Linked DNA regions of Lytechinus pictus. The protein of the gene in region 1 purifies or fractionates together with the protein of each later gene. This does not show direct contact. Links are inferred from orthologs where the notes say so. Each region holds a gene or a part of one and is shown on either strand. Other genes may lie near its edges.

What was found.
Region 2: the proteins of E3 ubiquitin-protein ligase SMURF2-like (region 1) and mothers against decapentaplegic homolog 4-like purify together in Homo sapiens (affinity purification with western blotting; 3 studies listed by BioGRID). This does not show direct contact. The link is inferred for Lytechinus pictus from reciprocal best matches to the Homo sapiens genes SMURF2 and SMAD4.

What each region holds. Positions count from the first base shown.
Region 1 is NC_087254.1:29,862,336-29,879,639, reverse strand, and holds the start of E3 ubiquitin-protein ligase SMURF2-like, read left to right. Parts: upstream 1-9,300; coding exon 9,301-9,313; intron 9,314-10,217; coding exon 10,218-10,326; intron 10,327-17,304. UniProt on the Homo sapiens protein: E3 ubiquitin-protein ligase which accepts ubiquitin from an E2 ubiquitin-conjugating enzyme in the form of a thioester and then directly transfers the ubiquitin to targeted substrates.
Region 2 is NC_087247.1:25,796,089-25,812,949, forward strand, and holds the start of mothers against decapentaplegic homolog 4-like, read left to right. Parts: upstream 1-10,277; 5' UTR 10,278-10,423; coding exon 10,424-10,666; intron 10,667-16,688; coding exon 16,689-16,861. UniProt on the Homo sapiens protein: In muscle physiology, plays a central role in the balance between atrophy and hypertrophy. When recruited by MSTN, promotes atrophy response via phosphorylated SMAD2/4.

The DNA.
Region 1 (17,304 bases):
GCTACCCCAAATAGCGATTTCGCCAAGATCCGGGAAAATCCCTGTAACGTGCATTGCATTATGGGATAGCTTTTTCGGTATTACAACTTCCTGTTCGGAAGTCCAACGCACTGTTTTGCCATTTAGATCAACAGTGCCGTCATGCACAACAACACAACGTAGCTTTCGCTCGGAAAGTTCGTGATCACAACCCTCTCTTTCACTAACAGTTTTACAGCCTTTTCTGCTAAAGTCACTAATTCTGCCTGACGCTTTCCATTGCACGGTATTCATCTGTCAGTTAAGATTTTTTTAAGTTCCGAAACTGATTTTTATCCATTTTGTGGTCGACGAAAAATTGAACGAAATGAATGCTGAATATATTTAGTGTCTAGTTGAATACGATCGTGATGTCAGGCCGGTCGCTAAATGCAAAATTTTAAGATATTCATTATTTGTTTGATTTTTTTATAACCAAATAAAAACATGAATAAAAATTATTCTCACGTGAAATGTATTTTTTATTTTTATTTATAATTCAAATGGAATCAAAACTGACCAAATGTAATAAAAAGTATTATACTTTGTACATATTACGCTGATTGGCATCGATTTCAGCGTGGTGGAAAACTCAGTATCGCGAACCTCGCGCGAGCATGACTCTAAACCGGAAGTGGTGATGACGACCCGACGGAGTGAAAATTATCTCGTCTCGCGCATTATGAGATTTTTGTTCCTATTTGGGGTAGCGAGAATTAGAGCACCATTGTTATGTTCTTATTCTGACGTGCCTAGTGAGACAGTGATATCTGACGTGCCTAGTGAGACAGTGATATTTCAAAATGCCAATATAGCCACATTGTTTCACAATGCTCTTCCATTTTTGATGAAAGGAAAATAGACCACAGCACAGTTGAACTTCAGCACAGGTGCCAGTAAAGCGCAGAAGGTAACTAAGAGAAAACAAAAAAAAACAGGGGGGGATAATTACTCTGAAATTGATAACATGTAGGAATACATGTAAATGAGTGAACATTGTCGTGTGCTCATAGAAAACTGATTCAGTAGGAATTGAGTCAAATGTACAATAGTTCGTACCTGTACATGTACAAAAAAAAATCTCTTCTCCATCTTTTATGTAAATATTCTGACATGCTTACTTGAGAAAAAAGGGGAAATTGTTGGGCAGTATTGTAAATGTAAATCAGTTTGTGGTATTGACCGTATCTTATTTCCGCAATGCATTTTTTTGCTCAAAATTCATGGTACATGTACATTTGTACATGTATGAGCAAATTTTGGTCCAAGGAATGTCCTTGATCTATTTCCTGTGAGAAATATACAGGTACATGTATTTTTACTTCTTTAGAATACTTGTTCAGCTCTTAAGCAGCTGCCATCAACTTGTGATAGCCAAAGTCATATCAATTTATAATGCCTGAGACGTTTCATTGTCTTTTTCCTGTGTGTGATATCAACCGTGTAGGTAGCAGGATTTAAAGAGGTACTCCAGCTTGAAATAATAATAATGATATATGCAATATTTTCAGATCACTTAAATTAATACAATGTTTCTAAGCACTGCTTACCATTACCCTGATCTACGCTCGAGCATTCAAAGAATTTCTTCCTACCGGATACCCATTTTCTACACCTGGGTGGAGACTGGTGAATGGAAAATGTAGTTAAATGCCTTGCCAAAGGACACATTTGCTGCAGTGGGATTCAAACCCCAGACCTTGTGGTTCAGGAGACTTATCCACTGAGCCAAAACACCTGTTTTGAACAGATGAAGTATTAACATTGGACAAACAAAAAATACTGAGTTTCATCAGAATCGGACAAGGAATAACGTTTGCCTCAGGTGATGGTTCATGTAGGCTTCACTACACTTCACAACCGCTACCCTCTGCTACACCTACCCGAACTTTCGGGCAACAAATACTCGCTCTCAAAACCAGTGACAAACTGTGTCACTTTGGTAAAAAAGGCAACACGTCATGTAAAAAAAAGACAGGCGTACTCTACAGTGACTAAACTTACTATCGGACACAGACTCACTCCTTGCCCTTTCTTGTAAATGTCCGCAATTCGCGTTCGCCAGTGAATTAATACGTGTGGGAAACAGAACCGGCTTCAAATCACCGATTTTGAGATGTTTACAAGAAAGGGCAAGGAGTGAGTCTGTGTCCAATAGTAAGTTTAGTATGCTTAATGTTTTTTCTTTACATGTGTTGCCTTTCTTACCAAAAAGTGGGGATATTTAAGGTGATAAGGTGATAAAATGCTTAAATCCTGTTGGAATCGTGTACTTTAATAAGCAAAGCAAACAACTGATGCGTGCACTTAATATGCAAATAAGTGATCAGCACCCGTCATATCTGCATCCATTGACTTTGCACATAAAACAGTGATACGTTTGCTGATCGCGCAAATTGAAAATGCGGTCACTGTTATATTCCCTGAGGCGTTTTTGTACAGGGGAAATCTAAACTGCTCAAACCAAAATTACAAGCATGTAGCTCTTTTGTGATATTTTCTCTAATACTTGGTTCCTTGTGAAAATAAAGATACCAATATTAAGCACTTGTCTTGGTTGGCTTGGGACAAAGAGTGGAAATTAAAGTATACTGAAGTCAAATTTCTCAGAAATGAGTTTTGCACTGTCGTATCGCCATGTGACGGTTCGGATGATTACCAAAATTACCATTCCTGGGTCAAGTGTGGCGAATTGTAGATCAGTGTTTCTATGAAAATATAATAATCATTGCTTACAGCACTGGCAGAAATTATTTTAAGTAGGCATACATGTACAATCTTAGATTGCTTGTTGCCGCATATACAATCTTTGGATATATATGAATTGACCTGTTGAAGGAAATTTATTGCCAGCTTTTTAACAGGATAGATAATTTTGTTCAAGTCAAATGATTAGAAAAATTGTATGGACACATTCAAAGTACAGATGTGGAGCAGCGAGGTTGGTGTAGGACTGACCATGTATGGTTCATCTGGTGGCACCATGATTCTTACCTCAATTTAAGTCTTATTTCCTGTCAAGTTCTTCATATTATAATAACCAGACCTAAAACCCAAATCCTGCTCAATAGGTGGTTTCAAACCGCCTCGATCATAAGAATCCCCGTTAAATTACGAGAACTTTTTTAGGCTAAAAAATACCCATTAATTATTCCTGCATTCACACCGCTCTGAAACATACCCTTCGGGATAAGTTCCTGAAGTTACGAGCATGCGCTGTATGGTCTGATAAGCAGGCAAAGCGCGAGATTCAAAACCACTAGCTCAGCAGCCACCCACGGCGCCCGCGCATAACTACACGCTGGGCTAAAAGTTCCCATATTGCTTTCACATTGCCAAAATACCTGCGACCTTGGAAAAATCCCCGCGAAAGTTCTCGTAATTTTGCCATCTACCTACTATTTAGTGGGTATTTTCTTTCGGGGATATTACGTGTAATTTGCTTTCACATTGCCAATATTACCTGGTATTTTCTGATCGGGTAAATTTCCCGATCAGAAAATACCTGGAACTGACGAACTTCGAGGCGGTCTGAAACCACCTAATATCTGATTTTGCCACATTCAAGAGGAAAACAAATGAGAAATAGGAATCTTTGTTTTTCATTGTCCTATCTGCTTTGTTTTGATTTTAATCACTTTGGTCTGATGTTTTCTTTCTAATGTACAATAAACATTTAAGGACTGCTTGCCAAAATGATCAGAATTTTTAGAAAGATAAGTTTTTCCTCATTTGACAAATACTGTAAAACTACATTTGTAAAAAAAAGAAGATGTATATGTAGAACTTGCAATCATTGTCCATTCATGAATTAAGAAAAATTTACTAGGCCCTATAGTAAATGTAGGCCCTATAGATTAGAATGGAACAAAAACATATTAATGCTCCATTTTTACTAGTTGAAGATGAGAGGAAGGATGGAATGAAGGGATGAATTAAACTGGTTAAAAATATCCAAATAAATAATCATTTTTTTTTTCTATTTTTTGTTCTACACCATGTTTGACTTCTATGGTAATATTGTGTGCATGTGTTTACATGTATAAAAAAATCATGGATAATAAATAACATATTAGAGGAAATGAATAATGAATGCCTAATTGTTAAATTGAAAATGTGCTTTTCAAAATTGTTCTAAAGTTTGACTGCTTGGTTGCCAGGTCACATGCGTGCACAATATTAGGAGTGATATATGTACAGACTTTAATATAGTCTCCTCTACAATGATTGTTTTTTCTTTGAACAAAACTTTTGAAAGGAATATATCAAATATATGAAATAAATAATCAGTAGTATGTACATGGTTTAAAGTACTTAGTAGCTGCAACATAAAACCTCTTATTGCAAAGTCGCAAAATAAGCATGATATTGTTAGTGCTTCAAGGTTGGCGCCATGTTCTGGTATGGTTTGTTAGGGTTTGGTTTAGAGTTTGGCAATGTAAAGAGAATGAAGGTAGAAATGGGATTTCGAAGAACAGAATATATATTTTTCTTTTTTTTTTTAGCTAGATAGAATTATTATTGATTACAATGCCTGTCTTAGTGAAGCAACACTGTTGAAAGATGAGATAGGCAACCTCCAAAACTGTTATAACACTGGTAAAATCTATATTCCACTCATAGGAAATGTTTTTCCATAGTCCTTATTTTCTTAAAAGTGGTTTAAATAATTAGTCAATTACTAACTGTAAAAAGATAAATTATCAGCTCCTTATTGGTCTTGAAAGGCAACACTTTATAGTGATTTCAAACACTTTTACCAACATGAAAACAAATTGGCCTACATAGGATTACACTACTGTATGTACAAAGTATTTTATTGTTGTCAATATGCCACATGACATTACTCAGTCAGCAGCGAGCTTTAGTTTTTGGTTTTTTTTTCTTTCATCAGTAACCATGTACAGAAATATGAAAATTACCATCAAATTAAGATTTCATGTGTATTCAGCCCTCCAACTTTCAATTTGTTACACGACCTCTGCGTAGAGGGTGCTCTTAAATAGCATTGTCATCTCTAGCCTTTAAACAAGGCGCTGTGTCTGTTGTGATATTTATATCGCATACCTATACTGACTGGAAAAAACTACCGGTATTCACAAAAAGCCGAGTGAGTGCGAGGATTTGAGCTCAGTCACAGGGCCTTTAGGAACCCGATTTGGATTTCTTATGTTAATCATTGTTTCCGAATCGGAATCAAGAGGTAGCGGCCAATCAGCGAGCGTATTGCTCGCATCAATGAACCCCGTGTGACCCTGTGCCACAGAAGCGAACAAACCCATCCCATGATGTCATAGACACCGACGGTGCGGATTGGCGCATCGGCTGCATCAGCATGCTCATGAATAATTCATATATTCACGTCTTCACCAGATTCCAAAAGGCCTCGCGACTAAAGTCGCTCGCTCTCGCACTCACTCGGGTATCACCAGTTCTCTTCGACGTCCGCTATTCTAGTTTCATCCACTGCTTTGGCAAGGAATAGAGCCAAGTCACGAGGCCTTGTTAAAAGGCTATGTCATCTCAGGATTGTCCAGTTATTAAAAGCTCATTTAAAATTTCCCCCTTATTTTCCATTGCTGCAGAGAGTAGGCCCATACATGTACCTTTGCTACAGCGTACAATTCTCCGTTTTTTACAGGCCCAATGCATATGTTTGATGTATGGATGTACATGTATGTTCAAAAGTTACACAGAAGTTTTGTGGAGATGTAGCAATAGTGGTACATGTAGCCTACTCGACTTGTATGTGAAGCTCGTAGGTATAGTTTTCAAAGGAAAGTGATACTAGGGATCTCCTTTTACAAGGTACATACATCGGTCCCAATTATACCCACTCCCCTTCCCCTTTTGTATCTGTTTCATGTTCATATCATATGCACATATGTATACATGGAGGCCTGCTTTAATACAGATTGTTGCGGTCATAAACCCCTGCATCACAAGACAGACTTGAACTCATGTTATGGAGCCATGGCCCTCTCCACACAAGTACCTGAATTTTTTAATCCCTTATCAGATTTCAGGCTCTTTTAAGTACTGAGTAAACACAGACCATATTTCCTGTTCAGTGTAATATTCCTATTAGGAAAAAAATCCTGCCCTCCCAAATGTAAACTCATTCAGAATATTACTTGATGGTTTTATGACTGCATTGCTGTCTTCTTACCCCACATATCCAAAGACAAGCTGTCTAGCCAAGCATTGATATAGAAGGATTAATGATTGAAATATCAATGTTTGTGAGATTAAAGACCTTGTTCGTCATATTGAGAATTGAGAATTGAGAATTGATTTTATTCTGTCCATTTAGGAAAATATTCTTGTTGGCATTTACATATACACAGAAATATACAAAATCAAAGCGTAAAGATGAATTCTACAGAATATATATACATCACACATATTTGAAGAAAAATACATAATACAAAATAATTTCAATCAAATCGGTAACATTTTACTCTTAATCATCGTTATTATTAATATAATTATCATTATTATTATTATCAATCTTATTATTATCATTATGATTATTATTATTAATTGTATTATTATTATTATTATTATTGTTATTGTCATTGTTATTATCATTATTATTATTATTATTATTATTATTATTATTATTATTACTATTATTATTATTATTAATATTGTTTCTATTATTACAATTATCAATAATCAATCATTACTATTATCATTATCATTATTACAGGATATACAGAAAAAAAAAACATACAAAGAAATACAACAAACTACATACAGTCATACAAATAAGGGGAAAATACATAATATAAAATAATTTCACTCAAAATCGGTACAACTTTGCTCTTAATTATTGTTATTGTTATTTATTTTCAATATCATTATTATCATTGTCATTATCATTATTATTAATATTATTATTACTATTATCATTAATATAATTTTCCTATCATTATTAATTATTATTATTATTATTATTATTATTGTTATTATTATTATTATTAATTATCATTATCATCATTATCATTCATCATTATTATCATAATCATCATTATAGATAGACAATTGCTCATTCAATGCTTTCATTTCAGTCGATAGTATCAGGGTAATATTAGTAAATTGTATACATGTGTGAGAATATAGTAGGTGACTGACGAAGTGGCAAGATTACAGGCTTGATTGAAGTTGTTCGTTGTATTTTCGAATGGAGAGCGGCACAAAAGAATGAAGGAAACGCGATGTTCGAGCCCTCATTGATCTATACCGCCTTCCAGATCGCATTTGAATATAACATGAGTGGAGGGGGTGGTCCTTATTTTGTATGATCTGTGAGGCCTGTTTCAAGATTGCTTGAACGCATTCATTGGTCACATTTGCCACTTCTCCAGTAATCTTCCCAGCACAATTGGCTATTTTCTGCAATTTCTTCATGTCTTCTTGTCTGCACCCTCCGAACCAGACAACACAACTGAAAAGCATAACACTTTCTATCACTGATTTGTAGAAAAGCTTTAACAAAATTCTATCAACATTGAAAGAATTCATTTTCCGAAGAAAGTATAATCGTTGTTGGGCCTTTGTATATAGAGACTGACACTGATCCTTCCATGAAATTTCACTATCAACTATAGTACCCAAATACTTAAAGTTGTTAACATTTTCTATAACCTCTCCTTTGAACATAATATAGAAAGTCATATTCTCATTAAGATATAAAAAAAGGAGTATTGCTTTCAAGGTATGTCACTTTTATTGTGTGAGACACACTAACCTCTATAGTCGACCCATTCTCATTACAAGAATAACTGTATTCTGCTTCAAATACATGTACATGTACTGTACCTCTAGAGTTGACCCCATTCTCATTACAAGATTAACTGTATTCTGCTTCAAACATATACATGTAGGCCTACTGTATACATGTACATCTATGCTATCTGTTCTAAAATGCTCCATGTAGAAGCCACGGAAGTTGAACTGTCTTATTGCTATTGACAATTTTTTATGTCTACCGGTACTTATTAAGTTTTAATAGATACTGTAATACTTGACATACTTGATTGTTCTTTATGCAAGCCATAGCCTTGATAATCTGATTTGGGATTTTCCGCTCACATAATGAGCCTTTTCACCACTCTCTGTGGACCATTCAAACAAAGAGTTCAGAGCTCGAAAGCATCGCATTCAACATTCATTGGCTTTCACATCCTTTCATTTCTTAAACTTATCAACATTTTAAAAATATGATTGCTGCTTTTAAATGAATGCTCTATCTTGGTACATGTAACTAGGAAGCAGATTCTCAAATAATTATACCAGTAACTGTTTGCGGACATCCCATATCATTGTTGATTTGATTACATACACGTTTAAAATGAAATAAGAAATTACGACTTCATGGTTTTGTGAAGCATCTCATCGAATGCATGACTACCGTTTTTGCCGGATGTAGCAACAGCATAGGCCTATTGGCAGACTGGATTCAGGGAAGTGTAATTCATCCATTAATGGGTTAAAAAGAATTACTTGATTTTACAGGAAATATCAGAAATCAAAGTGAATCAGAATATATCATTGTCTATTCGGCCTTCAAAGTAAAACCTTGGACAATTACTTATGTTTGCTAACTGTTGCCAAGGAGGTACTATTGCCTTGTTCTCACTTTACGTTTCATTGATGGTATTGGTTTGGCCTGCATATGTCCTACTTTCACTGAAACCTACTTAAAATATAGGCATTGTAATGGCTGCTTTGGGAGTACGATTCATGGGTCATTGTCAGGGTCATAAATAAAAGAAAGGGACAGACGGCTATGTTAAAGGGAAAGTGAGAAACTCTTGTGGGAAATGACAATTATCATATTTTAGAAAGAATATCATCAAAGTTCTGAGGTACTTGTACTCTGCAGAGGATTGCTTCTCAGATGCCCGATATTTAGGGTGTGACCTAAAACAGCTGACATTTTGGGGCCATAACATCTGTGTGTAGTCCCATTCATGTATTTCTGTGTGCCATTCATGTTTGAATCTCAGCAGATTTCAGTCATTTTCTCTGATTCCCAAATCTTGCAGTATGCATGAATCCTTGGGTGCATACATATGTACATTTAGTCCAATCACTTTGAGACAGCTGTTTCCATGGTTCAATCTCATGACCAGAAATGATGCTCATTTTACATCGGTTGAGAGCAAGAGCGATCACTCATTGATGTTATATTTCCTTTTTAAGTTATTGTAAGTGCTTTGGGAGCAGAATTATTCTTTGTTATTCTATAATGTACAGCACTTTGGGCATATTACTATGGAAAGATGCTGTAATTGTCAAAATGTACATGTATGACATTGTATGTCTTTATACAGTAGTTCTAAGCCTGCTTTCGGTTTGTACAGGCATTGTGTACTACATGTAGTTTGTAAACACTTCAAATTGACCATCAGTTATTTTGTACTGAGCGGTATGGTGTGCAACATTTGGCATGTCTGAAACTGAATTGATGAAAAATTGCTTGTACCATGGAGCTATGTGTTTTATAGCTCCATGCTTGTACCTTCTCCGCAGTAATTGTGTTATATGTTTGCATTCTTGAATGTACACCATGAAGATGCTGCTTCATGTATAACTGTAGTGCTAACCTTATTGTTCTTGTGTCCTACATGTAGAACCTAGTTTGGTGCCAGTTACAGTATGAATTTAATTTCAAGAAAATAATGATGCAAAAGCAGATATATTATTGTCATTGAATTTTATTCTCTTTTAATTCTTAGAATTTAGAATCAATGTGTAAATGATCAATTTTTTAGTTCACTGCTTTTAATGGCAGCAGGACAATATGAGTGTGGACTTTTCTGAGAGGCTTTAATACAAAGTCCTAACATTTTAAATTTACTCTTGTCTCTGTGAACAGGAGGGGGGGGGGGTGGATTGACCTCACACTTGTTGCAATCACCCTGATCTTCCTTCCACTTTGCATGAATTTGTGCATCCTCCATCCACAACCTAACATTCTTGCTCTCTCCATTTTGCTCCTTCGATGACATTTTGGTCTTTCCCTCCACAAACTGCCAAACTCATACCCCATTACCCTTTTTAAGATATGCTCGTCAAACTTGAAAACCAGAAATCTGAACAAACACTACTTCAATAAATGTTTTATTGTATTTATTGAATACATATCAATATATATTTTTTCTCTTGCATTCTTGTTTTCTTTTCTGCAGGGTTACCGGATCCCTTTGCCAAGGTAGTGGTTGATGGATCAGGGCAGTGCCATTCTACAGACTACTGCAAAGGAACTCTCGACCCAAAATGGAACCAGCATTATGATTTGTGAGTAATTCAAGCATGACTGACATTTTCCATCTTTTCCCTTTTATATTATGGAGTGCTTTGAGAGGCATGGTTGTTTCTAGAGGCTCAAGGGGACCGCAACGCGACTATGCCCGAGGGCATGGTCTGGCAGATGCGGTACCTGCGAGCCGAAAGAAACAACCGTGTCTCGAATATAAAAGCAGTCCATATATATTTTATGAACCAAATTAAATGTTAGATCTAGCCTAGGGCCTAGTATATAAAAAAATTCTAGGTCTAGATCTTAAACAAGTTAGGCCTAAAAAGCCCTAGATCTAGCCTTTCTAGGCCCCAGGCTAACGTTAGGCCTAGATCTAGGCCCTAACTTAGCCCTTCAGCTGACGTTAGGTCTCGAAGTCGAATATCAAAGCAGTCCATACCGTTAGTACTAGGTCTAGATATTTTAGGAACCAAATTAGGGTCTGAATAGATCTAGACGAGATCTAGTCCAATGTTAGCAGTCTTTAATCTCCATTAGAGTCTAAATCTAACATTAGATCTCGACTATGTCAGATCGAAATTAAACGGAACATTAGCCTAGGCCATCTAGATCTCGAGTCTACTCTTAACTTCTAAGCTAAAGTTAGATCTAACAACATTACCGGTACCTAACGCATCGTTGTTTGGCATACGGGCAATTCCATGGAAAATGTTCACTTTCGAGAAAAAATGAAGTTTCAGATTTCACTTAAGCAGTCAAATTTTCTTAAAAAGTAATCTATAAAGTTTCAATTTCCAATAGAAAAATCACAATATTGATAAAATTTTGTGTTTTTTTCCATCATCAAAAAAATAAAATAATAAATTGCAAAATATAAAAAATGTGGCTATTTTTAAACAATTCATCTTTCCTGTCTCTACTAAAAGCAAATAAGGTCCCACAGGTCTCTTTTAACTTTTGTATCGATGATTAATGTTTAAATCAACAGAAAATCATTGTTATATTTCATGCCATTCATCAATTTTAGAGAAATCGATCTTCAGATTAATGTGATTTCTTTACCATTATCAGTGTCATGTCCGTTACGTTTTTCACTTAAAGTTTTCACAGCTTACAGGAAATTTGTCTGAAGGTACTGCAGATTCAGATTCTATGTTAGAATTAAACCCCCTACCATGTGTAGCAATCATTTTCCCTGACCACTTCTCATTTTCATAAAAATGGCGTAACGGACATGACACCTAATATATGACAAAAGGCAGCATTCACAAAAACAAAATATTAGGCTCAGTGTCACAGACTGTGGTCAGTCTCAATTGCTTGAGGATAGCTGGATGTAATAACTCCTAGAATCTGCATGTCATTCTAGCTATTTTTAGAAGTTGGTAAATGATGAAAGTTCAGCTCTTGTTCTGGTATATTTTTCTGAGAATTAACGGTATGCCACATAATATTAGGATAAGATGCAGCTAAATCTGGCAACATACTCAGATCACAATCTGCATCATTTGTGTTTGAACAATAATTGATTATCTTAGGTGTTTGCACTGACAGTTTGGAGCATGATAAAACTCCAACTTGTGAATTCATGAGATCTTTGATGACATTGCTTCAAAGTATCTGACTTTCACCAACCCTCAACTTCTTCAGTGATGGCACTGGCTCACATTTAAAACAAGTTTGTAAATATTCAGATATCTGTGTTACATGATGTAGCTCTATGAATCCATGAATCTACAGTGGCACTTCTTCATATCACAAAGCAAAGAGGCTGTGGAAGGAATGTGGCGCGATCAATAAATTATGTCATCATAGTATTTTGGTCAGCCATAATCATGATTTGAATGATGTATCTTCGTTTGTACACAAGCAGCGCAGACAATACAATGAAATTAGATACAGCCACATTTGTCAGCAAGCAAGATCGTAAGATTTAGTACATCCAAGATTTGATGAAAGGATGATTATACCAAGGATCTTTATTTTGAATGAAAAAAATCTCAGAAGCGATTTACAAACATTCCGATTACCTTATAACTCGTACATAATCGATAATGAAAGACTGGTTTCCAGGTACTGCTATTAAAATTTAAAATACTTTTTAATATCATTTTTTTAATCTTGAAATTGACATTAATACTAGTACATATTCTTTATCATAAAATACATTTTATAATACAGGTGTATGTTCATCTTGGATTTAATCAGGTCTGGTACATTTTGTTTTCTTCTCACAAAAAATCTGATTTGCTCTTCTCAGTGTGCCTATGGTACTATTAAAGCATTGTATTCTATATAAAATTATCATGTGGGCTATAGCTATTAAATTAATAATACCTGCCAAAAGTGCCAATAATATCTACATTTTTTTCTTAAGAATGTTAGTAAAGGTACTTTGCTGTTACATAATTACATTCATTATTCATATTTCTTTCATTTTGCAACTAAGAAGTGCAGATGAAGTTCACTTCGGAAGGGTGTCATGTCCGTTACGCTAGTGTATATTGTCAAATAGTAAGCCATGAATAAAAAATAATCTTTACTATCAACTTTTTCTCTTTTAATTAGATGTGGCGGATGGTAGTAACTGGAAAATAATCATTAACTGTTGTTAACTGGCGTAAAAGAAATTTTTCCAAATATTTTTTTGTTTTATAAATATTGTACGCAAAGCCCCCCTCTCAAATTGCAAAATAATAGGAGATATTACAGATTACCAGTTATGATGTGTGTCTCTAACCTCTAGCCTTAACAAGTAACCAATAAGACTTGTACCATATCTTGTAATAAAATAATTATATTCGCTTACAAAAAGTGGACGAAACTGTCATGTCCGTTACGCTTCATGTGTCATGTCCGTTACGCTACATTTTGAGCTATGAATACAGAATGCACTGTAAAACTTTTGTTAAACACCATTTTATGGATAGAGCATGATCTTAAGGTTAAATTAACACCAGCGTCAGGTGCATGCAATCTAAGAATTCACAGGAATTTTGATAAGCAATAGGAGGTAAAAATGCTTCGTCCATTTCGTGTCATGTCCGTTACGCTGACAAAGAGTGCAATTTCTCCGCAACTGTTCAACGAAACGATTTGAAATTTCATGTGTATGTAACTGATACTTAAATGTGTCTGATAAGCTCAGTAGCAATTATCAAAAGACTGCTAATTCTACTGTATAAACCTTTGAATTACAAAAATTTGTCTGAACGTCATGTCCGTTACGCTGGAATTGCCCATACCTAACGTAACGAGTAATGTTATAAGAAAGTGCAGTGACCGTCTTGATCTTTTCACCTGACTCACCTTTTGTGAGCATGCATTTGAACGAACAACTGCAACAAGACTTGATGATTGATACATCCGTTATGTCCTTGTTTAAGTTAGTCTTCTTTTCAATAATGCCATATATTTTAACACGAATTAACAAGCAAAAGTCTAGGATCGGCATCGTTCCATCGATATGTCATATCCGTTGCGTGCACTTGTGCAATAAGCGCGTAAATGCGCGAATTGTCTAAAACTTTCGATCAAATCGCGCGGATATTTATGGTATCCGCAATCACCGCACAAAGCAACATTTTGCATGCAATCAAATGGGGATCTCTGCCAAATTTTGCTATGCCCGTCGTTAAGGGGCGGGTCAGGGGGCAACAGGCAGAAATCTTGTTAACTATGCCTGTTGCCCTTGGTTACCACCTTAGTTTGTTGTTTTGCAGGCATGGTCGTTTACATGACCTCAATTTTGACCAATAAGAGGAACAGATTTTTTGACATTCTTAAAGAGAGGTTCATAATCAAAGATAACCCCCTCCCAGCCCACCCCCCAAAATGTCATATGTTATGATGTATTTGTGGACTATTAGACTTCTTTTTATTCCCGTATCGGGCAAAGAATTAGTAAATTATGCAAGTTAAGGCATATAGGCCACGTCATTTTCAGAGGCTCATTTGATTCATTTTGGGAAATTTTGCAATTTACACTTGGTGTCTCCAAGAGTGAAGCAGGTTTGGCGCTTTGTATTACAGCATACTGTTGATTATCTCCAGTGTGCACTTCTTATTTTGGAAGTTCAATAGTAGTACCGGTTCTACTGTACCTATGTGCTGCTCTCCCAAGGCTAAGCTGGCCTTGCTTCTGGCTGACTGAATTTTGCTGGAGAAGTCTTTTCTATGAGCAGCTAACCTCTAAATTGCCAGATTGGATGATCAGGCCCCATACAAGCATAATGAATTATATGATGGATATTTATGATTGATTTCAGATTAAATTCATTCCTGCGATCAATTATGAAGCTTTTTTTGTTACAGTACAGGTGTGAAAATACAAGCGGGTAGCACAAGAATTCTTTCAAACAATGGGAAGGGACTGATTTCATAGTATGGAATGGAGGAAAAAGATTAAGTTTTAGATTGACTGTATTGATTTGAGTCAAGCAATATGCTGGTTGCAATGATAGAAAATACTTGCAGATATTGAAGTTCAACAAACCTAAATGTAAATCAATGTCTCGAGAATGGCAAGCAGAGATAAGACAGCGTCTGAATGCCATTATTTTGAAAATTGAAAATACTTTTTATATTATGGTACCCACGTCATTCCATGATTTAAGAGTGCAATTTTGCCTTGCAAGCCCTCTTGCAAGCGAAATCTGTGGCAAGTCAACGCACTACGTTGACTTCCCTTGACTTTTCGTTCTCGCTCATGGAAGGGAGAAAATGTTTAGCTATATTTGGGATGGAAGATAATTTCATGTCTTGGGAAGAAAACATGATTTACATAGATGTCTGGCAGAGGAGGCAGGGCTCAGCAAACACTCTCCTCTTTCTCTGCATCCATTAATTCTCCGTCAATTTGTCTGCCTGATTATCTTCCCTCTTCCCCTCAAAAACAAGACTGGCATGGTTTAAGACATTTGACTGGCGGCTGGGAGTGCTTCCTAGCGTGCCAGTCAGTTGTCTATGCCTGTTTTATCTATCATTCACCATCCTGGCACTCTATCGCTTCTCGCTTTTAGACCCTGGGTCGGTCTTGGAATGAAGCTTCCAGAGTTGCCTGTGTTGATTCTTCAAGGCTCCTTGCCCAGTCCCAGACAGGCTTCTTTCAGTTAGCTACTCTATGAAATCTTGGCAAGAATTAGATTTGAGAAACACTGGATTTGTCTAATCATGCAAGAGCTCTTGTCTCCTACTGGTTTTTAATATGCTTTGTTCTTTATGGCTGCTTTCTAATGCTGAGAAAAGTTTAAATTCTGAATATTGAATTGACCCTTTAAAGGGAGATGAAGCTTGTTAGAATTACACAATGACACATAGCAAAAAGTGATTTGCCACCCCCCTCCCCCCAAAAAAGACACCCTCATAGGTTTGAAGGGTTTAATGAAACAACCCAATGTTGTATGTTATTGATAGAATAGTAGAATAATTATTTTGAGTAAAAAATCAACATTCTTTATGGCATAATCAGGTTAATACTCAGTGATGTCCTTTTGTTTTACCTTACAAATGTACAATTGTACATCTCTCCGTACCAAAGGGGATTTTTGTAGGGGGGGCTATTAATTTGTTATGCAGGTCTATTTCTCATTTACTTCCAATGTTTAAGAATCAAACTATTTAAAGTGATCAAGGCAATGCCTTTAATTTCAGAATATGCTGGAGCAATGTATTTCTTAATAACTTCATCACTTTTTGCCTAACCGCGTAATGGAACAACCTCTTTTGAATATTGAGTTCAGAGACAGGAGGAGAACACGCTGTCTGTCTCCCTCGTCTGTTGAATTTTTAAATTGCAATTATGGCATTGTGTTGTAAGAGAGCAATACACACCCATGTTTAACACCCTGAAATTCACTCTGTCTTGCGCCCGCCTAATTAGGCAGCCAATTTAAACGGGGATGTACATTTCTCAAAGTAAACACAATTTTGATAGTGTTGGGTGTGAAGCTATTTGCTGGTACCAGTGTGTACTTACTGGAACATGCAGGGTTTTTTTTATTGGATTGTCCAACATTTGAATAACTCCTAGATTGAAATCATTCAAGGTTTATACTTTATACAGCAACTTTATTACAAATTTTCCCTCTACTTGTAGCTAATCTACCAACAGATTTTTTTCCGCATTACCTAGAATGAAAGATCCAGGCTGGCCCAAGACTTTGTACCATTTCTCATGATCTGAGTTTAGTCAGGCGTGGTTGGACCTGAACCACCTTTTTGCCTGGCCAAATATTGTTTTGACTGGCCAAAATAATGTTCCTCTATTAAGGCTTTATTTGGGAAGGGGTAAAAGTAATGTAGCTGTGAATAATTCAGCTGTGCAATTTAAGTTATAATGATCCTTTTCATAAAAAATTATTGTGAGATTCTTTCATGGTATCATGAATGTCTTATGTTGAAAAGACTACCTTGCCATTGAGGTTGTTTGTTTTGGAGAAAACAATGATGAAGACTAGAATATTGAAGCATGGTATGGGCTGAAGGATGTTCTGAGTTCTAACTTGTGCCTTTTAATCAGAGGGTCTTTGTAAAATATCTCATCAATGGCATTAGTTGCCATTTGAAAGAAAATCATGCTTGTACTGCACTTTGATTCAGCTCTATGGGTCTCTGTGAGAAATATTCATTCATTTAAAGAGAAATTCCAGTAGTTGCAGTAAACACTGATTTCATGAGAAAGTCTGTAAAACCAGGCTTAATTGTCAGTATATCATCGAGGATCTAGATCTGGTACAGTTACATAAACTGAACTTTGTGAAATCTTGAAATCTACGCTGAAAAATGTTCAGACTGAACTTCCCCAACACAGATAAGCGCACGTGGGACAGTGTATAATTATTGCTTTGAGCGTCGGGCCCGACGCTCTACCCAAATCCTGTGCTTATTTGCTGATTTCTCAGCAATTACACAATTTCTTCCAGAATCCTTTGGCACATGCGTTTTAATTATACAAACAGACACTTTGGTGGTCATTTCATTGGATTCTGTACGAACTCATTTTTATATCGTTACCA
Region 2 (16,861 bases), on another chromosome or scaffold:
GGAGCATGATAAAACTCCAACTTGTGAATTCATGGGATCATTGATGATATTGCTTCAAAGTATCTGACTTCCACCAACCTCTACTTTTTCAGTGATGGCACGGGCTCACATTTAAAAACAAGTTTGTATTGATTCAGATATCTGTGTTACATGATGTAGCTCTATGAATCCATGAATCTACAGTGGCACTTCTTTGCAATATCACAAAGCAAAGGGGCTGTGGAAGGAATGTGGCGCGATCAATAAATAATGTCATCATAGTATTTTGGTCAGCCATAATCACGATTTGAATGATGTATCTTCATTTGTACACAAGCAGCGCTGACAATGCAACAAAATTAGATACAGCCACATTTGTCAACAAGCAAGATCTTAAGATTTAGAACACTCAAGATTTGATGAAAGGATGATATACTCGGGATGATATTTATTTTGAATGAAAAAAATCTTAGAAGCGATTTATAAACATTCCAATTACCTTTCAACTCATACATAATCGATAATGAAAGACTGGTTTCCAGGTACTGCTATTAAATTTTAAAATACTTTTTAATGTCGTTTTTTTTTAAATCTTAAAACTGACATTAATACTAGTAGATATTCTTTATCATAAATACATTTCATAATATGTTCATCTTGGATTTATACAGGTCTGGTACATTTTGTTTTCTCACAAAAAATGAGATTTGGTCTTCTCAGTGTGCCGTAGTGGTATGATAAACATTGTATTCTATATAAAATTATCATATAGGCTATAGCTATTAAATTAATGATACCTGCCAATAATACATGTATCTACATATTTTTCTTAAGAATGTTAGTAAAGGTACTTTGCTATTACATAATTACATTCATTATTCAAATTTCTTTCATTTTGAAACTAAGAAGTGCTGATGAAGTTCACTTCCGAAGGGTGTCATGTCCGTTACGCTAATGTATATTATCAAATAGAAAGCCATGAATAAAAAATAATCTTTACTATCAACTTTTTCTCCTTTAATTAGGTGTGGCAGATGGTAGTAACTGAAAAATACTCATAAACTGTTGTTAACTGGTGTAAAAGAAATTTTTCTATATATTTTTTTGTTTTATAAATATTGTACGAAAAGCCCCCCTTTCAAATTGCAAAATAATAGGAGATATTACAGATTACCAGTTATGATGTGTGTCTCTAACCTCTAGCCTTAACATGTAAACAATTAGACTTGTACCATATCTTGTAATAAAATAATTATATTCGCTTACAAAAAGTGGACGAAACTGTCATGTCCGTTACGCTTCATGTGTCATGTCCGTTACGCTACATTTTGAGCTATGAATACAGAATGCACTGCTAAACTGTTGTTAAACACTATTTTATGGATAGAGCATGATCTTAAGGTTAAATTAACACCAATGTCAGGTGCATGCAATCTAAGAATTCACAGGAATTTTGATAAGCATTAGGAGGTAAAAATGCTTCGTCCATTTCGTGTCATGTCCGTTACGCTCACAAAGAGTACAATTTCTCCGCAACTGTTCAACGAAACGATTTGAAATTTCATGTGTATGTAACTGATACTTAAATGTGTGTGATAAGCTTAGTAACAATTATCAAAAGACTGCTAATTCTACTGTATAAACCTTTGAATTACAAAAATTTGTCTGAACGTCATGTCCGTTACGCTGGAATTGACCATTTTCAAAGTCAGTGATTTTGTTGTTTTCTCAACTTTTTCCACAGGCCAAATAAAACACATGTTCCATAATATGATTCCATTTTCAAATCACCAAAATGTTTCACATGCGAAGATTTGAAGCTGATTTCGTTTAAAAAAAAGACTCAACAATTTTACTTATTTATATTTTATAGGTGTTTGTGTATTAATGGTGAAAGTTTTATGAATTTTATGAGAATATTGTGTTTGATATGACTGAATTCATGAAAGTGTTCAGTAATACGATCCACTATCATAGTACCATATAATATGGCTACCAGATAGTGGCATGGCCCTGATGGCACAGTGATATTTTGGCCAAGTCAGTGCATGTTTAATGACATTGGTTTGGGATCTAGTATTTCTCTCGTATTGCCACAAATCCAATCTGATCGACTTTCCTGAATAAATCAAATTGAAACTTGTATCATTTGCATGTGTAGGGTTTGTAAATAAACACCTACTTGATGAGAAGAAAAAATAGTTCAATGGTTCAAAACAGCAGCATAACTCGGATTTCAACAGCAAATGTAACATGGACGAAGATGGTGAATAAAGTAAATGAAGAGAATGTCTGGATCTTGTCTATCTGTACAGGTCTACATGTATGTGTCTTTAATAAAATAACTGTCTCTAGTCTCTACTTTGCCTTCCTGACCTACATCAAAATTGTTGCTACAGGAACATAACACTATTTAAATGAACCAAAAGCTAACCAATGAAATTAGAGAAAATAGAAGAACCCAACTGAAATGTAGTAATCCAATTCATAATATAAACCAATTAGGAATAAGATGAAGGTCACGATAAAAGATGTCTGGGTGATTATGAATATGTAATAATGAGAAGAGAAACTAAGGAGTCGGGTGAGGGATAGAATGATGGGGAAACCTGAATAGAAAAGGAATGAAGATGACAAAAAAAATAATCAGAGGAAAGGAATTCAGTGTGGAGGAGGATGAATGGAAACTGAATATCATTTAACTCATATACATGTAACCTAAGTTCAGACTGTAAGGGCAGAAAGGAACAAATGTGAAACAGCTTAAAGTATACATCAGAAGAATCAAAAGTATTTTATAATGACTTTATGTGGTCATCATTGTAAAGGGGAAGTATTACTAATCAGATATATAACTTCACTTTTCAAAATAGTGATCAGAGTTTGCAGAAATCAGCTCTCAAAAATGATTTATTTTCATGCCATATTTCTGCCTTCCACCGGTCCTCTTGCGAGCTCCAGCTGAGTGACGTCACACAATGAGCAGTGAGCAGCTGAGCTGACAGCAGCCCATTGGAGACGATCTTTCCAATCAGCGTTTTTTGCTCTTAGAATTGTTTATTGCTCTTAATATTGGTCTTGTTATATAGATAAAAGTTTGAATTTACTGAACAGTGAAAAAAAGTGCACATTTAACGTATTTTGGTAACCGATATTTAGCTTAGAATTTTTTTTTTTTCAAGAAATATATGTGAATAAACAAAGCATATTTTCACGTAGAAATCACACTTGCGTCACGTTAATATTATAATCAATATAAAGCATAGACATTCTTCTTTATGACTGAACAAAAATTATGAAATTTCATTAAGTAGCAAAGTCAGGAACCACAAAAAAAACACGGCAATATCCATCGCGAAATGACTGAAATTGCAGTTGAATTGCCGAAGCATTATTAGGCAACAGCGGCGAGCGGACTTTATTTCATATATCTTAAAAATGCCTTTCCGGTAGGGCAATGGTCTGTGGCCAAATGCGTTGGCCATTGTTTTGTCATGTGCGAGGACCCTGGTTCGAAACTCGGATTTTTTTTTCTGGGCATTTTTTTTTTATTCCTTCCCCGTCCCTACCCATCTTTTTTTCTCTTTTTATTTTCTTGTGAAATTCTATTCAGACCTGTATTTATCAAATCTTGCTTCTTAATTGCTGCTTTTGATTTTCAAGTTCTTGATTAGATTATTTCTACTCTTATTTGGGATGGGAGGGGTAGAGTTAAAAGTCAAGTCCACATCAACTAAAAATTATTTGAATAGAGTAATTTCCCTTGTTGTTTTTACTCAAAACAGTCATATACACAAAACAATGATATGCAAATTAGAGTTGTCACTCACATCACATTCGTTTCTATTTTTTGTGGCATTTTGTTTTTTATTCTTTGCAGATTTGACGATAGGAAACTCTTCATCTGATCACAATAGGTTATATTTACGGAACTGTTAAAATAGTAATTATATAAATTTGAATCAAAGTTTTTATGAAATTTCCTGCAATATCTTGTTATTTTTCTTTAAATTCAAATGAATTTTTGATTGCGTGGACTTCTCCTTTACTCTTAATGTAGGGAATGCATAGCAAAATTTATCCAGAAACAAAATTGTCTTAGAATATGCAAATCAGTAATTGGACACATGTTCACTTTTCTTTCATCCAGGCCACTTCCTCACACCCACCAGGCTTTCAGTCTTATAACAAAAATGATGAACCATCACACAACAGCACACAACATTCACAGTGCTTCACAATAAATATTTCACTTCTGTTCATACATGCAATAAATATTGTGGAAAACAAACAAAAGGCATACCCATATTCAAATACTGTTTAAAAAGACAAATATATTATACCTTTCGAGAAAAATCAGCACGTTAAATATCTGATAACAAAACATAATTATGGGGCACTGCAAGAAACTTATGTTCAATTGCAAATCAAGCGTAAGTCTTAAATTCAAATTCAAGCGTAATAAGGTCGAGTTGCAATCGCAATTCAACTACATGTTTAATCAAAGGACTTACCCTTGATTTGGGACGTGTGATTGAGTATAACATTTCTCGCAAAATGCCCTAGTAACATTAAAATTGTTCTTTCGTTTTAAATTGTGTGTTATTATTTTTGACAAGCTGTATTCCTGTCCAAGTCAAATTTCTTAGTTCTCTCCAAAACTGTGCTCAAAATTGTTTCCAAGATTGATAAAGAAAATTTTTCTTTTGTATCATTATCAGTCCACAACTTGCAAACCGTAGGTCCTGGAAAGAGTGAAGAAAAAAATGGCTATATCCAAATCATAGTAAAAGGACATGATGGAATCTCCCAGATTGAGGTAGCAAGCAGAGACCAGAAGTCACCAGAGTCAGCAAGTGTGCAGATCTGTGTGTAGAAGAGAGAAAAAAAGAAATAGTTTAAATAATCAAATCAAAGTATGAATTTAATTATCGTGATGATTGATGACGTGCGGTGGCATGTAATTCCCGGTCAACAACAAATGATAGTAGGTTAAGACACCTGAAAAGTTCCACTCAGAACACTGGTGCTCTACCTCAAGTGATGTTTGTGTAGGCCCCACTCCACTTCACTACTGCTACACTACCGTACATGTACGCCACACCTACCCGGGTAGGTGTGTAGCGTAGTGTAGGCTGTAGCAGTAGTGAAGTGGAGACTACACGAACATCACTTGAGGTACGGTGCTCTCTGAGTTTTTTTGTCATTACAAAGATTGCATTTATCTTCATTGTTGAAGGCATTACGCATGCATATATGCAGCAACACTCTAATCAGAAAGAAACACCAGACTCTAATTTTGGCCCACCCAAGGGTTCATTACATGCCGCCGCGCACAGAAAATTCAAGCCATAGAAGTCGTGTTGTGGACCCAAGAAGTGAGATCCCAGCACGCGCGACCCACTAGTTAGAAATCCACTGCCAAACGCGGTTCGTGGTGCGAGGTTAGTATACTAATACTAACCTCGCAATACGTGTGAGTGATTTTGGCCAGGAATCAGGGTAATCACTGCTGAAAATTTGTCTGGCTTCATGACATCGGCATCATGGTGATATAATTCTGTGTATAATAAAAAGATTTTCAGCCATGGTCCATACCAGTGCTCCTAAATAATTTAATCGCCTGCCTGAGTCCTGACCAGTTTTAGAAATCTGAAGAAAAAATCTGCTGGAATTGTGCAAAAACATTATTTCTAAAATAAAGACTTTTTAATTTTAATAGTATACGCCAAAATGCATGATTCTAAACTTATATCAGATCTGTATCTGTCATCTGACCTGAATGCATCGTCAGAACAAGTACAGTTTCCAAACATGCTTACCTTGACTTTTGACTGGATCAAACAGCGTAACCTGCAACATGCATCGGGAGCAAGTGAATGGGACCGTGCAGCTTGGAGTTTTTCAATAGTTAGTAGAGCAACACAACGAAGACTGTCGAGTGGACAAAATCGATCTTTCCAGTTCACAATTCAATAAAAACCGGGCAAAATAACACAGTTCTGGTTCCCTTATAGTCTGAAGTTGTCGAAAACAGAATTCGGATATCACAATACATGAAGAAAACAGTAAATTCGAAGAAAAATAAAGACCAGGAAGGTGAATCAGCTATCAGTGTACTGCTGGCTTGCACAGAGCTAGAGAGCGGCTGAGTGAGTCGATCATCATGTGACGTCATTATTCTCGACTGTATTTGATCGCGTTATTGTCTGTCTGGGGGCGGCTGGGGGGCTGAGAAGGGTCTCTTATAATTTCATTTCTTGCATTTCCACGACATCAATAAGACTTTTTAGTGACATATTTGTGTATAAAAAGACAAGACCTTTCCATTCATATATAATTTGTCTATAATCATCACTTTCATGAATTTTCTTTGGATGTATACTTTAAGAAGAAAACATAAAAGGAAATAAACAAATAAGAAAATGCTGAAATAACTTTCCTGCACATGTATGATAAACCTTGTCCAAAGATTAAAAAAGTTCTGAGAATGGGTCATTGTATATTTGTTTTACATCCCTTCCACTCATACCATTTTACAGCGAAATGATTTTTAATAAGTCGATATAGAACAATCGTTGAGAAGTTGAGAAAATAATAAGTATTGCCATATGGATCGTCTCTTAAGCGAGCGCACCTGGTTAGTGCAGCTCGCCGAAAGTTCCCGTGGCATGCAGTGGAGAGTACCGTTTGGCTGAGCAGCGCTCTGCTCGCATCGCGCCGCACAGCTCGCGAATCGCGAGTTTGGGGGGGGGGGTCAAAAAACCTATAGTTCACTTATTCCCTAGGGAAAAAATGGACTATGCAAGGAAAATGAACTATTTCATGGCAAACGTTTTTCGTAGTAAAACTATTCTTTTTCTCCTTGTGTACACTCTACAACAATCTTAAGTAAGGGATATAATATCAACTAAAAAAACTTAAAGTTATGATTTTCAGTTTTCATATTGACAGTATGAAAATCCCGATTGCATAAACCTGCATAATCGTTATAAAAGTATTGGAAAAAAAGAAGAATTAATTTTCAGGTCTCCAGTTGAAGGTCAAAGCTCATTCTAAAGGGGGGGTCAATAAACTGATATACAATGTACAGTGCGTCCCAGAAAAAGGAAACTGGGATTTCCTAGTCTTTTTCATTCAAAGGCAAATGAATTATTTGCCTTTTTATTTCATTGAAATAAAAAGGCAAATAAAAAAGGGCAAATAGTGTATGAGTGTAATGAATTATTTGCCTTTTTATTTCACTTACATAACCATGTATCATCCAATTATTCCTCTTTAATTTGATACCTAATTTGAGATGAACACTTCATGCATTAATGAGCAATACGAGTTTGAAATTATAATGTCAAAATCAGGTTGCACAGAAAAATTTGACAAGATTGGTTTGTGTTACGACGACCGTGCATCGTTATAAAAGTACTTGTACTTTCATTTTCTGCAAAAATCTAAAAATCGATATTTTGACCAAAATTGACTGATACGACGGTTCGGATGACCGCCGACAAATTGTTTGCATATGTATATCGGGACATTCGACACACTGCCAAATATGGCACTCCTCAATATCCGACATCTTGGCATGCTGTATTACGTGCTCACGCTTTTCAAAGTCTAGGCATACATGTAGGTCTATGTAGGCGTGTGGAGCTGAGAATCGTGCCCCATATCGAGAGAGGATAGAGGTTCTGTTGGTATTTAATTCTTATTATTGATCACTGATTCCTATATGAATATGATTTTTTTAGCTCATCCGGCCCGAAGGGCAAGTTGAGCTTATGCCGTGGCTTCCGTCGTCCATCCATAAATTTCAAAATGCTTCTTCTTCGCCATGTCGAGTCCGATTTCAATTCTGTTTGCTTTATATGATAGCACTAGGTGGGGGATTCAAAACTTCTACACAGAATTTTGAAACTCATTAAATATGCTAATTTATGCGCATTTTTCAAAATTCACAAAAAATGCTTCTTCTTTATTTGTTGACTGATTTTGAATTTTTTGCTTCCATCTGGTAGAGCTTCATGAGGTTCACCAAATTTCTAGACAGAATTCTGAAATTTTGAGTAGAACAATTTTTATGCTAATTTATGCAAAATTGATTTATGCATATTTTTAAAAATTCACATAATAAAATGCTTGTTCTTCTGAATTTGTTGACCGATTTTGATTTTTATTCTTCCAACTGGTAGAGCTTCATGAGGTTCACCAAACTTCTACACAGAATTTTGAAATTTTGAGTAGAAAATTATTTATGCTAATTCATGCGAAAATTCATAGATCACAGAAAATGCCTCTTTATTTGTTGACTGAATTTCAAAATGCTTCTTCTTCGTCATTTCAAGTCTGTAATTCTGTTTGCTTTTTATGATAGCATTTAACATTGGGGGATTCAAAACTTCTTCACAGAATTTTGAAACTCATTAAATATATGCTAATTTATATCATTTTTCAAAATTCACAAAAAATGCTTCTTCTTTATTTGTTGACCGATTTTGATTTTTTTGCTTCCATCTGATAGAGCTTTATGAGGTTCACCAAAATTCTACACAAAATTTTGAAATTTTGAGTAGAACAATTTCTATGCTAATTTATGCGAAATTAATTTATGCATATTTTAAAAAATTCACATGAAATGCTTCTTCTTCTGAATTTGTTGACCGATTTTGATTTTTTTCTTCCATCTGGTAGAGCGTCATGAGGTTCACCAAACTTCTACACAGAATTTTGAACTTTTGACTAGAAAATTTTTTAAGCTCATTTATGCATTACTTTAAAAATTCATATAAAATGCTTCTTCTTTATTTGTTGACCAATTTTGATTTTATTTTCCTTCCATCTGGTAGAGCTGCATGGGGAACACCAAACTTGTACACAAAATTTTGAAATTTTGTCTAGAAAATTATTAATGCTAATTTATGCAAAATTTATTCATAAATCACAAATGATTTTTCCCCTTCATTTGTTGATCAGTTTCAATTTTGTTTGCTTTATATGATAGCTCTAGGTGGTGATACAAAATTTCAACACAGAATTTTGAAACTCATTAATATTCTAATTTATTCAATATATTTTCAAAACTCACAAAAAATACTTAATTATTTGTTGATTGATTTTGATTATTTTTGTTCCATCTGAGAGCTACATGAGGTTCATCAAGGTTCTACACAAGAGTTAAGAAATTTTGACTATGCTTATTTATATGAAGTTTATTCATAGATCACAAAAAATGCTTCTATGTCATTTTTTATCAATTTCAATTCTATATCCTCAATTTAGGTCACCAATATCATGCACTACAGTGTCAACTGGGCTGAAATTCAAATTGTGTTAAATTTCGTTGTCATATCCCCACTTTCCTTTTCTTATGTAATACATGAAATCATAATTGTTTCATTTTTTCATACATGTGTAAATTAATGATGTGTCTCCATTATGATGAAATAAGTTGGGGCAATAAATAACTAATAATAATCAGTTGTCAATCCAATTGTTTTTGTTCTTGGTAGAAAAAATTTGAATAAACCTAATTTCAATTATAATAAAATACATAAGAACAAGTGGGGATATGACATCATCAGCCCACCTAATGAATATTCATGAAGACATGCCTAAAACTGTTTCACCGGAATAATGCAAATCTTTAAAATTCAATAACTTTGTTATTCGTTATCAAATTTTGATCAAATTTTCAGCATTTTGCTCTGTGAATTTTACTCTATTTATTGAGATATAAACATCTCCAGCCTGGACCATCCCTTTTAGCCTAAATTGCTATGTCAGGAAAAGTTATTATACATAATCTGAATACACATAAAATTTGAAAGCTGTGCCAAAGTGTGAAATGAAATATGGCAAAAACTAGTCCAAAGCTGTAGATTTTATAATCAATTCAAGCTTGCAAGAAGATATACCATGTGATCAAAAAATTCTAGCAGGAAATCAAATGTGTAATCTGAAAAGCAAAAATATTACCATGTTTCTCTGTGTACAAACCCATGGAATCACAATGCTTTTAACACATCATGATGTCACAGATAAACACGATAAACCCTTTTTTTTAAAGCCCAAAGGTACTCAGCGGAGAAGTAATGAAAATATATAAACTCTTCATTGCTGTGTTTTACAGTTTATAAGCTTTCGATTGATTGACCTTTCAATTTCACTTTAGGTCCAATCGGGGTCTGGAAGCAATGTTTTCAAAGTGAAAAATTTACTTCTAGTTTACAGGACATTACATTGTTGGGCATGATCATTAATTGGGCTCCATTTCTTTTATTCCTTCTTTCTTACAAATATGCAGGAACTCCTTGGACAGATGCCTTAGTTCATGGTGTAGCAGAAAATACACCAAATATCATTTTGTAGTTGCAGAAGTGGCACATTTCAGACCGGTTTCGAGGTGACCATTAGTGTCATCTACCCCACTGTCAAGCTGGCGTACCCAATGGGAACAATGGCGGGGGCCCCAACGAGTGCCGATGCCTGTCTTAGTATAGTACACAGCCTCATGTGCCATCGGCAGGGAGGAGAATCAGAATCTTTTGCAAAGAGGGCCATTGAAAGTTTGGTGAAAAAACTGAAAGAGAAGAGAGATGAGCTGGACAGCCTTATCACAGCCATTACCACAAACGGTGCACATCCCAGTAAATGTGTCACGATACAAAGGACATTGGATGGCAGGTTACAGGTAATTTAACTCCATTTTACTAGCTAGCAACAAGCGAAAAAGTTGGATTTGTCTTTGTAAAAGACTCACCCGACTTTTAAAAAGGGGGAAGAGGTGCGTGTTATTCACCGGCAAATATGGTACCTCAAATTCCATCAAAAGCTAATATGCTTTCGACAAAGTTTATTAATTCCTTTTAATTAAAGAATCATTAACTTTACACCAAGCCCGTGTCTTATTTTCTTGTTTTGATGATCATGGGAAAAAATAAAGATTTGTACATTTTGGGAGCACAATTTTGATATATTTCTTTCATTTATTTATTTTTCTTTTTAAAGAATTAGCAAAACACCATATTGAAAATGTTCCTCAATTGGGCAGGGCCTGTTGATTGTTTTAAATTGATGGAAACCTATATTATTCAGGACACTTTTCTAGTTTTTGTGACGAGGAGAAAGGTTTGGAATGGGGCCTGACATACTGGTTGTCAAACAGTCATTTGGAATGGAATTAGTGTTGCAATGTTAACTTTGTATGAACTGAGTTAAACCTTACAAACAATGGGAAGGAGAGGGGTGCTTTTTCCCCTGTCCTAATTGCAGGCACGTGATGGTTCTTATTTCTGAGAACCTTTGTATTATAGATGGCGTGAGGTGAAAATGTTTTCTTATTACCTCAATGTTTATCATCAAGGGAGGGTATTTCAAAGGTAACTGGTTTGCATTTCCCCCCAGGAAGGAACAGTTCTCCTTTCCAGGTTGTATTAGAAAGTGAAACCTGTCTCGGAGAGAGCTCACCTGGATATGGCATATTAGACGGTTTCCTCTCAGGAGTGTGCATGTCACACACTGCACTGCCAATATGTTTCCCTTTCTATCAACAAACTAACCTATTTCTTACCAACTCTCTTTTGCCCCCCTTGCCAGCCAGGTCATTTAAAACGAAAATAATTGGAAAATGTGAGGTTTTTCTTGACAAGGTAATAGTTCTGGTAAATAAGTAATAAATACTAATGTTCGTACTTTTGAAAGGTTTCAAAGAGGAAATCTTAAAACATACAAAAAATTATATTGATACAACAAGAAAAGATCAACAATCACCAAATGTTTGTATTTGAATGTTAGGACTAACCGGGTGTGATGGGGGGGGGGGGGGGTAGCCAGACAGGAACCCTTTTTTGTGGGGGGGCTGAGAAAATATTTTTCTCTGCCTGTCAGAAAAATCTGAATCAATTAACCTACTCTTTGATGTGACAAAGCTTAGCTTTCCTCAAGTTGGGAAGAGATTTCTGTGCCACCTCTTTGATGAAATCCAGGACACACCATGACCAAAAGCTTTAGGATACAGAAAGTTACCAGAACAAAAAATCATTTTTTATTTTATTCTAGAGCAATTAAACAGTCATTCTTAAATAAAAACATTGTACCATCTCATAGTGATTACTTTAAAATCAATAATTTGAATGGAATACATTTACTAGTCCATTACATGATTTACATCAGGTGTATCGTCACTTGCAGTGGATAGTGCTAACAAATCACCAGCGGTGATCATTACATGTAACATGTTGTTGAGTTGTTATCACTGCATGCGATTGAATTCAACTTGTTTTCTCTCTTTGTCAGAAGAATTGTGAATTTGTGAGGTAGAATACATCATTGTGCGCGATGCATATTATCCATAGTGATGTATTATTTGTCACATTACCGAGGTTTCGTTTCTCTGCGACTGCTACGTAATCCTAGTTCACTGGAAGTGGTGACACCGCTCGTTCAGTATCACGTTCGTACAATGATGAGAACAGTTTCGATTTCAGTCGACGTACCCGTACCAGGCCACAGCATAGACTGGCGTGATAGCGAGCGGGCCAAGAGCCGATGCTCAGCCGGAGGATTAGGCATAGCATCACGCCACGAACCAGTTGGGTGACTTGAGGGTGCAGCATTTGCACTCTTGCTCTTCGCATGCTTAAAAACGTTCTTACGTATGTGAGAACATGTACCAATATGAATCCCACAGTGTAGTTAACAATTTAAAATGATATCAAGAGAATGGATCGTTCAATTTCCACAGTTTTATGAAAATACATTGAAAATATGCATTTTGAGGAGAGATGCATGAATAGCGGATCTCGACGAAGTTAATCCCTGCAACCCTGGTAGAGTCATGCTGCCATGCCTGCTGAGCGCTGCATGTCGCAAGATGAGCTCTGGAAGCTGGGTGCGCAAACGTGGCACAAAAGCCCCAAAACACAGTTGTTTGGATATAGAACATGAATTGTACCTTCTGGATATGTACACTCCCCTCCAAAAGTTTGGGAACACCTGCCTTCAGTGTGTGTTTTTCGAACTTTGGTAGACTTTACTGAAGTTAAGCCTCATAGTACAGCTGTATTTTTGTTTTAAAGTGAAGGCTATACACAAGTGTACATTTTATCATTGATTCAAACAAATTCAAAGCTCTTAAGGGACGTGCAGCTGCCAAAGAGGGCAGGCTACCAGTCAAGATGGCATTCTCTAAAAAATGCCTACTTCTTTTAACATTGTTCTGTTTGGGGTTCTTTTCTGAAATTCTTCCCAATATTTTGTGAATGTTACAGCAGATGTCCTCAGAATTTGTTGCTCAGTATTGTTCATAAGACAGTTAATTTATGGAAATCTGCATCTTTATCCTGGAAAACATCTGAACTTGACAAATGCCTAATCCTTGTTTAAAGAAAATACATGGAAGTGGAGTAGACATCAGTGCAATTTGAAATTCATGAATTCAAAAGTTATTCAGAGTTTTTTTACACTTATTCCAGTGCACCTTCACTCATTTTGCCTATTCGGTTTTCTTAGTCAGAAGTCAGTCACAAAATTAAAATGGCTATGACAAGACAGCTTTCTTTGGAAACATGTCAGTCAATTGTAGTTTTGAGGAAAGAAGGCTACTCCATGCAAGAAATAGCCAGGAAACTCAAGATCAGTATCCATGCGGTTCACTACAGCCTGAAACGCAAAGAAGCCACTGGGTCTAATGGGAACAGGAGACGAAGTGGTAGGCCAAAAACAACATCTCCTGCTGAAGATAAATACATTCGGGTGAGCAGTCTGCGCAACCGTTGTCTGACTTGCCCACAAATTACAGCTGGCCTCAACAACACCCGTGAGATGCCTGTATGTTCTTCAACTGTTAGAAGACGTCTCTGTGGAGCAGGGCTGATGGGCTATGTGGCTTCAAGGAAACCACTCCTCAAAGAAAAGAACCGGAAGAAAAGGCTTGCTTGGGCTAGGAAGCATAAAGACTGGTCTTTGGAGCAGTGGCAGAAGGTTCTTTGGTCTGACGAATCAAAGTTCGAGGTGTTTGGCAGCAAGCAACGTACCTATGTGAGACGGCGAAAGGGAGAAAAGATGCTACCCCAGTGCATCAAGCCAACTGTGAAACATGGTGGTGGTAATGTCATGGTTTGGGGTTGCTTTGGTGCACAAAAGGTAGGCAGCTTGCACAGAGTAGAGGGTATCTTCAACCAGCACGGCTATCATTCAATCCTACAGCGGAAGGCCATCCCTTCAGGGAAACGCCTGATCAGAGAAGAATTCGTTTTCCAGCAGGACAATGACCCAAAACACATGTCAAGACTATGCAAAGACTACTTGAAGAAAAAGGAAGAGAAGCAAGTCCTGGAAATCATGGATTGGCCACCCTAGTCCCCAGATCTCAATCCCATCGAGTTTTCCATCAAATTTTCCATATCAGTGAAACACTGAGTATTGTTTGATTTTATTTTTGTGTCTGACTTCTGACTAGGAAAAGGAAAAATGAATGAAGTTGCACATGTTTTAGTGTAAAAGCTCTGAATAAAAGCAATAACTGCATGTAATAAAAGAAGTTAGCATTTTGAAAGAATGCCATCTTGACTGGTAGCCAGACATTTAAGAGAGTATAAATTTGTTTGAATCAATAACAAAATGTACACTGCTGTATAATCTTCACTTTAAAACAAAAATTCAACTATGCTATGAGCCTCAATATCAATAAAGTCTACCAAGTATATAAAAGCACACACTGAATGCAGGTGTTCCCAAACTTTTGGAGGGGAGTGTAGATGCTGAAAACATGACACGAGATGTGATGGGAAAGCTGGTAACAAGCAGTATCTTCCTTCACCAGCCCTGCTGAATCACTAAAATTTGAATGTTTCATTCATTTTTGTTAAGCTAGGATGACGTCACCTAGCGCTCGTTCGAGCACTAAGACACCGAACGTCAAAACCCTCAATTAAGAGTCACAGATTTGGGCAGTGAATGAGAGGGCTCGTCACAGATTATTTCGCGCATGCGCAGAGCTTCCAAAACTCCTTAATCTTGCACATCCACATGGCCCGTCACAGAAAACGAAAGGTCTCTAATGCTAATAGTAGTGCACTGTGATATAAGCTCCACTTACACGTAGGTATCACTAGCGAGTGGTGATCAGTAACATCATCATTCAGACATTAGCATGATGTCTTATCTATAGCACAGACCTAGTCGTGAGTGGTGGTTGATCACGGATGGTTATCAATCACCACTTGCGATAATGAAGATGTGTGATCTATATGTACAATGTATCACAACTGGTGATTGATGTAACATGACCCATACATGAAGCCATCGGCAACAATGTCTGAAAAGTAGACCATGGTTAAAGATTTTAACAAATTTTGAATTTTGGTCATGACTGAAATTGAAAAAAAAAAAAAATCAGATTTGACCTATTTTTTTAGATCTGGAGGTTTTCGCAATTTTGAGAAAAGTATGTCAGAATTTGTAAAAGGTTACATGCTGGCACATGACTTGGCTGTTGGCATTGTTTTTCTTCCTCGCAGGTTGTTCTCATAATGAATTGGAGTGAATTATGTGGTCTCGGTAGATAATGAGTCATCATGGGTATTGTGTGGGTATCAAGTAGCTTGTATGCTGAGCTGAATCTTGGCATGCTTCCCCAAAATTATATCATATACGAAGAAAATCAATGATTCCTGAGGGATCATCAGATGGTTTTAGCAAGTAGTTAGCCCCGGGCATGTTGAAAAGATTTAATCCTTACATCTCATTTTGATCATGCAGTATGAGTGACTACATGTAGAAATGTGGATAGAATATTGCACTTATTTACAGAAGTGTACGTTCTCACTAATTCTTGCACTTTGTAAATTATCTAATTCATGGATAATATAATGTTCAGTAATACATGTAATGTACTTTTTCACGTACATTTAGCTGATATCTAAGGTTTTGACTTCTAGGAGTTATGATAACAGCTATTCCTCAAATACATGTATATGGGATATCAAGTTCAAGAGTTATTTCCTGGAAATACTGTATAGTAGCTAGTAGAGTGTTTCACATGTAATTGCATTAAATTGTAATATCAATTGAGCTTAAGTGGTAGTGTATGAATATGTAATTAACACACCCTTAAGGCAGTTATGAATCATACAGTGTTTGATTTGGAAATCATTTTATGTGGCAGTGATCATCCATCATAACGTGTCCAGAATCTAGTTGTAGAGTACATACATGTACATGTGTATTATCACAAAACATTCTTTAATGACATGTTTTTTTTCTTCATGCTGAACTATCAAATAGTGCAATAAATTCAGTGCGATCATGCACCTGTATTTCCTCCCCCCCCCCCATATTTTAAGTTATGACTTTCCCCCTTGCCCTGATATCCAGTATAATAGCTTTGTGCCATATATCCCTTGTGGGATGAGGGATGAAGTTGAAAACAAAAAGTGTACAGTGAACGGGATGATATTGTAATGATACATGTACCATGAAGATGCTGGTAAGCTCGAGCAAGAAAATTGAGAAAACTTGCACTCAAATTGTGTTTCCAGAGTTTAGTTTTATTCATTTTAAGGGTTGAAGTTGATATCATGAGAGAAGTTTGATATGATGAAATATATAAGAACTTAGCCAGTTAAAGGCTTTTCATGATTTGTTTATTTAACACATTGTATATTCCTTTATTGATTAGAAACTATATAATATTTCTTTGTTGATGATTTTAGGTTGCCGGGAGGAAAGGTTTTCCACATGTGATTTATGCCAGGATATGGAGGTGGCCTGATTTGCACAAAAATGAACTGAAACACTTGAAATTCTGTCAGTATGCATTTGATCTCAAATGTGACAGTGTGTGTGTAAATGCATACCACTATGAAAGAATTGTGTCGCCTGGTAT